Daphnia pulex: one gene and its partners. The protein of the gene in region 3 interacts with the protein of the main gene of each other region in a pairwise test. Links are inferred from orthologs where the notes say so. Each region holds a gene or a part of one and is shown on either strand. Other genes may lie near its edges.

Region 1 (4,091 bases), on a different chromosome or scaffold from region 3:
TTTAGTCAAAAACAACAAGAGAACAATACTCCTAGCCTCAAGAAGAAAGCGACGAAGACCCCGATGAAATTCAATACGGCTTCCAACAGAGTATCAGTAGCCAGCGAGTGCCCATATCAATTGGTCGCCACTCCAGTCAGGCGCTCAATGAGACCCAAAAAGGGGATGGTCACTTTAAACGAACAAGTTTTGTACGTCGGCCAACTGGATGAACTTTCGCCTGCCACCAGAAGCAAGGCCGTTGTGCGTAAAAACAACGCCTTAACCACTGATCTCTGAATCTAATTAATTGTGGAACCCAAAATTCAAAGCATAATCTTCCAGTTCTGTCCCATTTCCCATTGTGTTTCTTTTTCTTTCTTTTTTTTTCCATTGCATTTTCGTTTTGTTTTAAGAAAAAATTTGCATTCTCTTTCGAAGTAGATGTCCCTGAATTTGATTTCAGTATTATTCGCCCGTGGAAATGGTTTCAATAAATTTCGGTTATACCAGTTTTCTACCATTCGTCGTGACTGTATTGGTATTTAATTAATTCACGTTGAATGAGCAGCTTGTGAAATGAAGCACTCTAGAAAAGACGAGAAGAAATATGCGACTCCGTTTATCACAAGGAGAGATGTGAGAGTTTAGAGGAAGTATGGGGGAATGTAAATATAATAACGATTATCAAAAGTGCTGAGATGAATAAATTACTCCATGTAGAACTCGTGAATCGGGTAGGCCAACTCGATGAATTTACGACAGAACCGTTGAAACGCTCTCCTACAGCCAAATGATATCATTTTTACATTTTGAATAATAGAAAATTAATAATCGTTTCTATGTTTAATACCCGATAGCTTCTGCTACGTGACGAGTTGAGCCGTTACCCTGAAAGACATGACAGGCGAACCGCTCTTCAGTCGGATGTTTGGTGATGAAGCCGAGGTAGTGCTGCTCACTCGGATGAAACCCGCAGAACGTGACATTTTTCAAAGCGAAAAAGTAATCGTGACACGGGAATCGGTCCATCTGTCGTGTGTGTGTTTCCAACCGTGAATTAAAATTAATTGAAACGAAATAGAGAGAGAGAGCTAGACAATACTCTTACGTCATTTTCTTTGCACTTGTCCATGACGTGAAGTCCCTGGTCGGAGATTTCTAGAAAACAAGGCTGCGGGTGGGTGACGGGAGATTTGCGCATACGTTCAACGGCCGAACAGATCACCTGCTCCCCTTTGTTGACCATCGTTTCGACTGATCCCAAAAAATCCAGGGCGTAGCGCTCCTTGTTGACCCGCCGTCCGTCGGGATCGAAATCGTAATCGACGTCGACGACGTAAGCCGCTGGGAAGATTCCTCGACGCTGAGTTCGCAGGTTGATCCCGTCACACCAACAATCGTCGGCCTCCTGCTGGACGTAAACAGGATCTCCGATGTCGATGTCTATCTCGTCAGAGTGTCGGCCGGTGAATTTGTGCAGACCGCGGTGTGTAGCCTCGACGTCGGTCAGCACCGGGAGTGATTCGGCGCTCGGCGTCGAAGACGCAGTATCTGTTATTTTTAAAATTCAATTCGTTATCAATTTCAATAATTAATTATAGGGGGGAAAATAACCTTTTGAGCCTTCTGGCGAATGAGCCGTCGAGTCTCGTCCGGAATCGCCATCCGTCCCTGGCCAAACGTCAGATTCACAAGGACTGTGTTCTCCTGCTGTTTATTTTTAATAAAAGGAACTTTGGATGATTGTTTTGTTATTTGGACAATTGGAAATAATTATAGTACCTCGATAGTGAAGGTGAGGCTTGAAAAATTGGCGATGACGGTGTTCGGATACTAATGAAATGCACGACGACCCGATATCCAATTGCGATAGCTCATCGGCGAGTGATGGAGTCCGTTTGAAATCCAATTCTGTGTATAATTGATTAGATATTGATCCTTTTCTTTTTTTATTTCGATAAAACATGTTTTGATAGTATACTTTGATGAATTTTTGGGATTTCTGGTAGTTTTCTTCTTTTCCTTTCGAGTGGCTTGTGATTGATTTCCTTGACAGGATCGTTGGCAGCCCCATCTTCTGGATGAGGAGCTACTGGTACATTTTCTGTCGTCCCAACGGAAGTTTGGACAATTCCGGTGCTTCCCTCTTCAACGATCGTCGATTCCCGTTTGGCAAACGGAAACTCGGTGGCACACGATGAGAGTAAGCCCTCGAAATTCGGCAAATCGTCACAGGGCGTGATGTCGTGAACCAAACTGCATAAATATGCAAAACAAAACGATATGATAATATACTAAAACCCCACCCCGCTAGTCTAACATAATCAATGAAACAGCCAAGTCAAATGATGACAACGACTTACGTGTAGCACTTGGCTGACGCTCGTATGTGCTGAGGTAATCGATCGAAATGCAGACGAAACTCTTCAAACTCGGAATCGGCCATGATTTTCGGTTACAACCAAAAACAGCAGCTGAAGAACTGAATTCGGCAAATAATAATAATGAGCGGCCTGGATGCAGCCTGCAGCTGGGGGTGTGTATATTAACAACTACTACTCGTTACTACAGAATTCGGCTATTTACTGAGCAAAGTCTCGACCGAATAAGTTTCCGATGCGTATACATATACGGCCGACTTTGGGGTGCTGGATCGTGCCGGATCCTCTATACGTGCCAACGGGAGTATGTAGAAAGAGGTGTGGCTGCTGCCGAGTTAGTCCCCCGGATTGCGCATGCTCACGGGGTGGTTGGTGTTCCAGCAGGATGCCATAGCGTGAGCCAGAAAAGAAATGTGTCCCGAGACCATGGAGATATTGATTTTTTCCCAAATTTCTTTTTCAAGTCAATTTATGTTCCTCCTCCTGTGTGTTTTTGATAAAAACTCAACACGCACGACGCGGGTCGATTAATCTAAGGAATGGGCATCTAAGCAAAACACTCCGTCACTAACGTCGTCGCCGATTAGTATCTACGTTTTAATTCAATCAGCGTGTGGGCGTATAGGCCACTGCGCAGCGCCAAAGTGAGAAATACTTAAACGTTGGCACGACTTAACATCGTTTCCAGATGATAATCTTCGTCGGCTATATCACGCAATACACGAATATAATCTGAGCTTTTTTTTTGCGTGCGTGTAGGTGGAATGGCCAGAGTCCTATGTAATAACGGATGGGATTTCTTTTAACTGTCACCAAACCACACATCGTAGATCACGCGGCCAATTTTTCTTTTTTTCCTTCCAGCGGATACGTTCTGTCCGCCCATATCGTCGATATATCGGCGACCTTAATCAGATGATGGAATGCGCTGCTGCGCGGAGGAATTGTAAAAATATAAAATAAAGAAAACGCGGAATAGATAATACTGTACGTCAGCAGCACTGGGCTTTGGGACCCAGAAAGTTTTCAATCACTTCTCAGCGATTGGGAATATGTATAAAACGATCGGAATTGAAATAGATTCAACAAACGGCACCCAAATAAGTGTAATATTCTTTGATTTCTTTTAACCTTTTGTTATCTGGCGTTTGTTTATACAAGAGCGCCAATGCATTCGACCGGAAGGTTCATCCAGCACTCTGGCCGTTGGGGAGAATGAATAGATGTTGATACATTATAAACGATTCTGAGCGTCGGGACGCTGATTATGGAATCGTTTTTATTTTTTCTTTCTTCCCATCCACTTTCTCTCTCCCCCACCAGTAGGTCGACGCTGTGTCTATATAGGGCCTGGAGATAGATAAATCCATTCGATGCCCAGCAGCAGCAGCAGCCATCAAGGCGAAAAGCGCCAGATCGTCAAGAGCCACTCTAGAGAATTGCAATATCCATCTGATTACTGAACCAACTGACTGTTGAATAGTAATCAATTCGAGAGAAGCTTCTGGCAATTCTTTTTTCGGTATAACTACGTCGACAAATGTGCATATAAGATGACGCCGCTTGTTCAACCAACCTGGACTGCTATAGTAGTCAGTGATGTTCAAAAGACGACTATTGTTCACCTTTTTGAAAAAGAAATCTAAACTTTTTATTCAAGCTCGCAGATGACGTATAGTATCTCGTCATAACAATAGCGCGTAATGATCATTATTACTATACACAGCA
Region 2 (3,652 bases), on a different chromosome or scaffold from region 3:
GCGGCTTTTGAGCTCGCGCGGGGGGTTAATACCTTTTATCAGGCAGTAGGAAGAGTTTGGCGTAAGGATTGCGCAGGGCGCCGTTTGGGCGCGGCGGAAGATCGAATCCGCCAACGATCGTGGCCGACAGTTGCTGGATCGATGCATCGTACCACAATTTCACCTGGACTTTGCCCCAAGACGGGTGGAGAGTGTCAGGCGAGGCGGGCGACGTGACGGTGACAGCCGGCCGGTCCCTCTGAGTGTTACTGCTGACTTTACTGCCGCCGCTGCGTGTGCTGCCGGCCCCGCCGCCGCCACCGACGCCCGCTAACGAGCCCGACGCCGAGCCGTAGCCGGAATGATGGTGACTTAGATGGCCACCACCGGGCCCGGCTGATCCGCCCGACTGTGCTCCCATTGAACTCGGCCGTCCGACATCGCTGATGGGCCGACTGACAATGATCTCCACTTCGTGGTCGGAACGTGACTCGCAGATGATGTCATAGACTTCCTCAAATGTCCGCCCTTGCAGCGGGTAGCCGTTCCACTCCAGCACCTCGTCACCTAAATACAAGCGCGGACAATAGAACACGTCATTGCATTGTTGCCCGTCGCTGGTGTCGCTGGTCTTCCTCAACACAACACTCGTTCACACTTGTCAAATTGAATGAATGAAAAGAAAAGAGAAAAGAGAAAAGGGAAAAAGAAAAAAGTTTTACCCGGCCGCAAGTGTCCGATGGTGTCGGCGACGCTGCCCCGTTTGACCTTCTCGACGATAGCGGCCAAGCGGCCGTTGTCGACTCGCTTGCCACCTACGACCTTGAGGCCGAGAATGGAGGCCGATGACGGATTGCTGGAGCCGCCGATGCCCGAAACGCCTGACGGACCACCACCTCCCCCGCCACCGCCTCCAAGGGAGCCGACTCCAATTCCGGCCATGTTTTTGGTCAATATCATCCGGCCAATCATTTTGGTACCGTCGCTGTTGGGCTGCCACGTGACTGGATGCTGCTGTTGAGGCGCCGGCGGATGCTGTTGCTTTTGCAGCTGATGCTGTTGTTGGTTGTTGGTTGTTGTTGTCACCGAGATCAAACACGAAAGACCAGACACAGTTCAATCATCGCAAGTCAGCCAAGGACAAAGAAAAACACAACAAATGTTCACATCCCATCATCATCAGAAATATAACCAAACAAAACAAAGAAGTGACAAAGAAACCGAAATGAACAAAAAAGTAGAAAAATTCAAGACGAGAGAGAATAAGAGAAAATGAAGCGGAATGAAAATGGAAGCCCCAGTCTAACCCAACTGCAAAGAAACAAACAAATTAAAAAGGAGCCAAAATCGGAAGAGAGAGAAGAGTAGAAAAAAAAAACAAAAAACAAAAAACAAAAAACAAAAGAGAAATGTGAAGATCACACGAGTGCTAATGCCAATGCGGATGGACGTCGGTTGCGTTGCAGCGCCATCCGTCATCGACGGATCATCGAACGTGGAATGCCACGGACGTACCCGAGGCGAGTTCGATCTAGACGGAGGCGATCAACCACCGAAAATGTGTGGATAGGGGGAATGATCCCAAAAAATCGTTGATGGAGAAATGGCACAAGAAGAAGAAGAAGAAGACGAAGGAATTGTTGGCCCCTCCCGCGCAGAAAATGGCAAGCGTGATCACTGAGCCAAGAATCCATGTGCCCACTATATCACGTTAGGTTGCATCAGCACGGTACAGAAGACACCCAAAATCTAATCTCCGGCCCATCAATTCAATACTGCTCGTTGTTGTTGTTGTAACTGTTGTTGTGCAAATTACTGTCGCCCCCCCCCCCAAAAAAAAGAAAAGAATTGCAGTTTTTAAATGAAAAAGAAAATTTTCCAACAGAAAAATCTCGAATCATTTTTTTGGGGGTGGGCGGAACTTGTCGACAACAGCAATCCAGCAAGGCCAGCAAAGTATATATCTGCCAACCGTGATGGAATAAATATCACATTGGGTTAAACGAAGAAACGATGCACAGACTGCTCAATAACGAGAGTCTTTGTATCGTGATATAGTGGCGCACATGTATAAAAAGATCTTCTTCTTCTTCTCGATTTCTTTCTCCTTCCTTTTTTTTGTGTGTCTGGCGTTTTTTGTTTCTGTAATTTTTTTTTTTTGGGTGGGGGGGTTTGTTTGTTTTATTGTTGTTGTTATCGAATGAGGTTTCGGGATAGGGATCTAAGTGTATAGACGGATCGGACGTGCATAGACATAGAGTAGAAGGCATTCCGTGTGCGGCGGACAAAACAAGACCCAATATAATAAAGCGTCGGACGGGTGGCGGGGGTTGGGATGGGATGGGGGGGTCTATATAAGAGAAAAGAGAGATGATGATGAAGCCAAAAATGGAAGGCCGCCGCCGCCGCTGCTGGGCCGGTCGAGCAGCAGCAGCAGCTCTTTCCTTCCTTCCTTTTCTTTTGGCTTTGCGTCTACAATGCACGACTCTACTAGGCAACAGCAGTATATAGTATACCCAAACATCTCCATGTTCTTGCGATGTGTGTGTGTGTCAATGTGTGTGGGATTGGATGATGCCCTCGATACGGGAGGCCAGGCTATACGTCTCTCTGTATCTATGTGTGTGTGTGCAAAGTGGAAGCAGCGGAGGAAGTTCTAGCTAGGAATCGGAAGCGAACAACACCGAAACAAAAAAGGAGCAACTGGAAAAGCCCAGGACGAGAGGGGAATAAGAAAAAGATGGTAATCATATAGCACAGCACATCATATCAATTGATGTCTATTGATATCGAAAGACAAGTCGCCAACACAGAGAAAAGAAGAAGAAGCTAAAAAAAAAAAGATGGAAGAATCTATGTATACATAAAGAATAAAAAAAAAGGCCAGGAGCCAGCAGGAGAAGCCGGCTCCTCCGTGTTGTATGTCTAGGAAATAAAGGCGAATATAAATATACAAGCAGTGATAGAATCAGAATAATAATAAGAAGAGCCCAAGTCTATATGACGCAAGCGTTGTCTAGATGTAGTACTGAATATACACACATCGACATGCAAGTCAATTCGTAGGCCAAACACCATCCATCAGCATTTGTTTCGCTCGGTTCTGGGTCTATGTATATAATATATAAATAGAGACGGACGGACGAACTCTTGTTTTGTTTTTCGTTTGTTGTTGTTTCCCCCCCGTCCCTTGTTTTTGTTGTTGCTGCTGATGCCTTTTTCTTGCTTCACTTGAGCTCGATGATTCCGTGCTGCTTCTCGGCCCCCTTTTTCCTACTCCCTGCTCAGATAAACGTATTCATCTAGACTATCTCTCTACTACCCTAGACTGTGTGCTGTGTTGAGCCCCCTCCCAGTAGTAGTAGCTCGACGATGGCTGCTCTGTTTGTTGTGTTTGACGTCGGTCGGTTGCCTCTTTCAGTACGGCGGATGGAAGGAGGAGGAGGAGGGTTTTGTGTGACGGGCGAGGTAAAAGTGGGGTTTGCTTGAAGCTGCTGGTTATATAGACCAGAAATCCCAAGTAAAAAGAGATTTGATGGCGTGCTCTTCTTCTTCTTTTTGCCTTTTTTCTTCTGAATTTCTACCCTTTTGCACAGATGTATCGTCTCGATATGCAAATGCCAAACATCCTCCCTCCTTCCATCCATCTATCCCCTCCCCTCGCCCTTCCTTT
Region 3 (3,652 bases):
CTTCTTCTCCGCAAAAACTTTGTTTTTTCTATTTTTTAGCTGGGCAACAGCAGCAGCAGTGCAGTGCAGGAAGGAAAAGAAAAAAAAAAGATCGATCGATTGTTTGGGGAAAAAGATAAAAATATAAAATAATTTTGTTTTTATTATTTTCCGGCAACTGCGGAAACAACCAAATGTCTACGGCAGGTTTTTTTTTTTTCTTTTTTTTTGGCTGGATCAAGAGGGGCGTGATCGTGACCGGAACAAACACACACACACACACACAGAAAGACACTCAAAATTAATTAATTAGCAAAAAAAAATTAAAATAATGTGATGATAAAATAAAATTGGGTATTTTTAATAAGTCCGCTGGATTTTAAAATATTTTCGTCTTTTTTTGTGGTTGTCCCAACTACTCTCTAAAAATATTTTTTTTTTTGTTTCGTCTGTCCAGCAAAAAATCCAGCCATGCTGTCCGTCAATTTTTTTTGGTGTGTGTGGGAGCAGGTGGGGTGGTGTGTGTTTTTGGTGAAAGTATTTTTGATGAGTTTTGTTTTGTTGTGCGGGCCGTCATTGAGGAGAGCCTACTTTCTATACAGCGCGGGCAGGCCAGCAACAATTTTTTTTTAGGTTTTTTAATTTTTTTGTTTCGGGGGGAGCAGAGGTGGGCCAGCAATCACTCTCAACTTACTCTTCTTACTCGTTTCAATGCCCGGCGCTAGCCAATGCCTGAGATGGGCAGAGACGGGCGGAGAAAAGCGTAAATGATGATGTTGTTGTTGTTGCAGTAGAAGTGCAGTTGCAGAAGGCTGATGATATTGGGGTTGTTGTTGGATCATTTGGTGTTGCTGTTGGTGGTGGTGGTGGAGTAAAGGCGTCCGGTTGAGGCTGGCCGGCGTCGATTTGCGCCTGTGCCGGTTCTGGCCGCCGTAGTGCAGGACCATGTCATCGCTGGCAAACGTCACCGTTTTGCCCTTCTCCTGAGACACTGCTTTTGGCACACGGGACACACACAGACCAGGCTATCAACAACCCAGAACCAAAATGCCCAGCATTTGCCCAGCTGCCCAGCTAACCCATTTTTAAAACATTTCATCATCATCTTCTTCTTCTTCCTACAAAAAACGGACTTCAATCCCGGTAGATCCGATCCTCTTTTTGCTGCTCCACTACACGTTCCCATCCCTACCCTCCTACCCCCTTCCCACTCCTTTCCTCGCCCGGGCACTGGGAAAAATCAATTAGTCAACGACGGATGGGCGGAGCCACACAAGGTCCTCGACAATTCAACGGATTAGTGCGGCAGACAGAAAAAAAAAAGATTTTCTTCTTCTTCTTCTTCTGGGGGAGAGTTGATAATAAAAACCGGCCAGCAGCACAGGAGCCGGAAATGTTGAAATGAAAATAATCAGAAAAATAGGGGGGAGGAGGAGGGAAACTCACGACAGGAGTGCAGAAAGAAGAAGAAGATGATGATGTTAATAATTTGGATAAAGAAAGAGAAAAATAACAAAATAGACAAAAAAGATCCTGGCCGGCAATGAATATATCCTTTTGTGTGTTGTTAACATTAATAATAAAGTGGTGATAAATGTGTGTCGGGCGGAACTTACTGATTGTGGCGCGCGATTTTTCCAGCTCGGCCAGCACTCGGTTATCCTGCTCGATTTTGGCCATGATCCGCTCGATGTCGCTGTGGTGATGGCTACTGCTGCTGGACGATCCGCCACTGTTGATGCCCGTCAGTTTCGACATGGAAGACGTCGAAACCACCGGCTGCGAAAGGCTCTTGCCCAGGTTGTAATCTAACAATTGAACCCACCAATTCAATTAAATAGAAAAGATAAAAAATGGAAATAAAAATTTTACTCGAGACGGCCAAGTCCATTTCGAGGAGAGCGTCTAAATTGGAGGCACTCTGTCCCAGAGGGGTTGTCCGTGTCACCGATCCAGCACCATTGGCTAAATACCTCAGTGAATCTGTTGATATTAAATACAATTATTATTCAACCTGCTGGGCAAATAAATAAAATAAAAATTGTAATTTTTGGGTACCTGGGCTGGATCCCCTTGAATCTAAATCGAATGTGGCTCCTAGTGACTGACTGCTGCCGTGGTGGCTGCTTCCAGCTCCGCTGCTGTTGCTGTGGTGGTGGTGCTGGTTCCGTCTCAAGGCCGCCAGTTCCAGCAACAATTCATCGTGTCTCACGTTCTGCAATTCCATTTTCCTTTCCAGCTCGCGAATCCTCGACTGTTTGGAAATTTATAAAATGAGAATCGAGGGTGGTAGGTGCTGGGCAAGACAAAAACGGGCAAACCTGAAGCGACTCGATGTTCTGAGAATGTTGTGCCCGCTCCACTTCCGTGTTCTTGTTGCTGGCCAGCAATCCCAGCTGGGCCTGGGCCGTCCGCAACTCATTGACCGACTCTCCATGTTGTTTTTCCAATTCCTTTTTCTTCTCGGCCGCTTCTCTCATTTGCTGCCCGGCCACAAATATTAAAATAAAAATGTCAAAATTAATTTTAAAAAATTTTGCAAAAATAAAATCATCCAGAAAACTCACCCTGAGGACATGATCCAGGCCGGCCATCTTCTCCTTGAGCTGGGCAACTTCGCTCTGGGCCGCCTGGCACTGGCTTTCCACCGTGTTCAACGAGCTACGAAGCGTCTGGCATTCCGTTTCAAACTGTTTTTATCAAATCAATTGCAAATATAAACAAATTCATCGATTAAAAATTGTGGTGCTGGGCAATTTGAAAAAAAAAAACAAATATTTCAACCCACACATCGATCGACTCGTCAATTCCAGCTGCTTGAAATCAAAATTAATTTCAAGACAAAAGTTAAATCACCGGGTAAAAAAAAAGGGAATAATCGATACATATAGAAACGGACACACACACACACAGTAGTCGTACAGGGTGTTATTATATATTTACCTGGTGCAGCTCCTGGGCTTGTTTCTTCAGGTCACAATTCTCAATGGTCAATTCGGCGTTCTTGTCGATAACTTTGCTCAGCTGATTCTCCTGTCGACCGGACACACACACAGACACACACGAAACAGACAAAATATTTTAGGGTTTTAAGCCGGACTCTTGCCCAAGTTATTATTTTAAACTCTCTCTCTCTCTCTACTGGCTGGATGGACACACACGCAGTCTAAGCCGCTGATGTGTGTGACTGGACAGCCGAGTCCTTACCAAGTCTTGACTGTACTCTGTTTTGGCTTTAAGTCGCTCGGCCAGCACTTCTCGATCCTAGACGAATCAAATTTCATTTTTTAAAAATTTTTCTGATGGTCGAAATCAAATAAAATTTAATCAAAATTAACCTGTTGCCTTTTGCTGAGCTGCTGGGCCGCTTCGGCCTGTTCCTTGCACAAGAGTTCCAGCTGTTCCACCTGCCGCCGGAGCTGGACGTTGGTCGCCTCCAAGGCCGAGTAGCGGGTCACGTCAAGCTCGGCACTTCGCTGCAATCCCTGGACGGCCAGAAAAATCAAATAAAAATCAAATTCTATTGACTACTGTTGGCTCCTATATAGCCAATCCTTTTTTCCTCTCATTGCTCAATACTTTTGCCCGGCCACATGACACATCGCCTCTTCCCCCACCCCCCTAAATATCGAAAGAGCCAACGGCATTCCAGCCAAAAACATCATCACCCAGC

The links.
Region 1: the proteins of uncharacterized protein LOC124203590 (region 3) and JNK-interacting protein 1-like interact in a two-hybrid assay, tested with the Drosophila melanogaster proteins (2 studies listed by BioGRID). The link is inferred for Daphnia pulex from reciprocal best matches to the Drosophila melanogaster genes Rbp and Aplip1.
Region 2: the proteins of uncharacterized protein LOC124203590 (region 3) and regulating synaptic membrane exocytosis protein 2-like interact in a two-hybrid assay, tested with the Drosophila melanogaster proteins (3 studies listed by BioGRID). The link is inferred for Daphnia pulex from reciprocal best matches to the Drosophila melanogaster genes Rbp and Rim.

The regions. Positions count from the first base shown.
Region 1 is NC_060024.1:10,403,200-10,407,290, forward strand, and holds JNK-interacting protein 1-like, read right to left. Parts: upstream 2,664-4,091; 5' UTR 2,429-2,663; coding exon 2,346-2,428; intron 2,239-2,345; coding exon 1,964-2,238; intron 1,894-1,963; coding exon 1,765-1,893; intron 1,693-1,764; coding exon 1,597-1,692; intron 1,534-1,596; coding exon 1,091-1,533; intron 1,012-1,090; coding exon 833-1,011; intron 763-832; coding exon 690-762; 3' UTR 585-689; downstream 1-584. Other genes in the region: uncharacterized protein LOC124200172, read left to right, coding at 6-279. UniProt on the Drosophila melanogaster protein: The JNK-interacting protein (JIP) group of scaffold proteins selectively mediates JNK signaling by aggregating specific components of the MAPK cascade to form a functional JNK signaling module.
Region 2 is NC_060020.1:6,667,356-6,671,007, reverse strand, and holds part of regulating synaptic membrane exocytosis protein 2-like, read right to left. Parts: intron 1,036-3,652; coding exon 702-1,035; intron 547-701; coding exon 33-546; intron 1-32.
Region 3 is NC_060026.1:13,159,270-13,162,921, forward strand, and holds part of uncharacterized protein LOC124203590, read right to left. Parts: intron 3,465-3,652; coding exon 3,318-3,464; intron 3,244-3,317; coding exon 3,187-3,243; intron 3,013-3,186; coding exon 2,923-3,012; intron 2,670-2,922; coding exon 2,547-2,669; intron 2,463-2,546; coding exon 2,301-2,462; intron 2,234-2,300; coding exon 2,038-2,233; intron 1,963-2,037; coding exon 1,852-1,962; intron 1,788-1,851; coding exon 1,596-1,787; intron 974-1,595; coding exon 674-973; intron 1-673.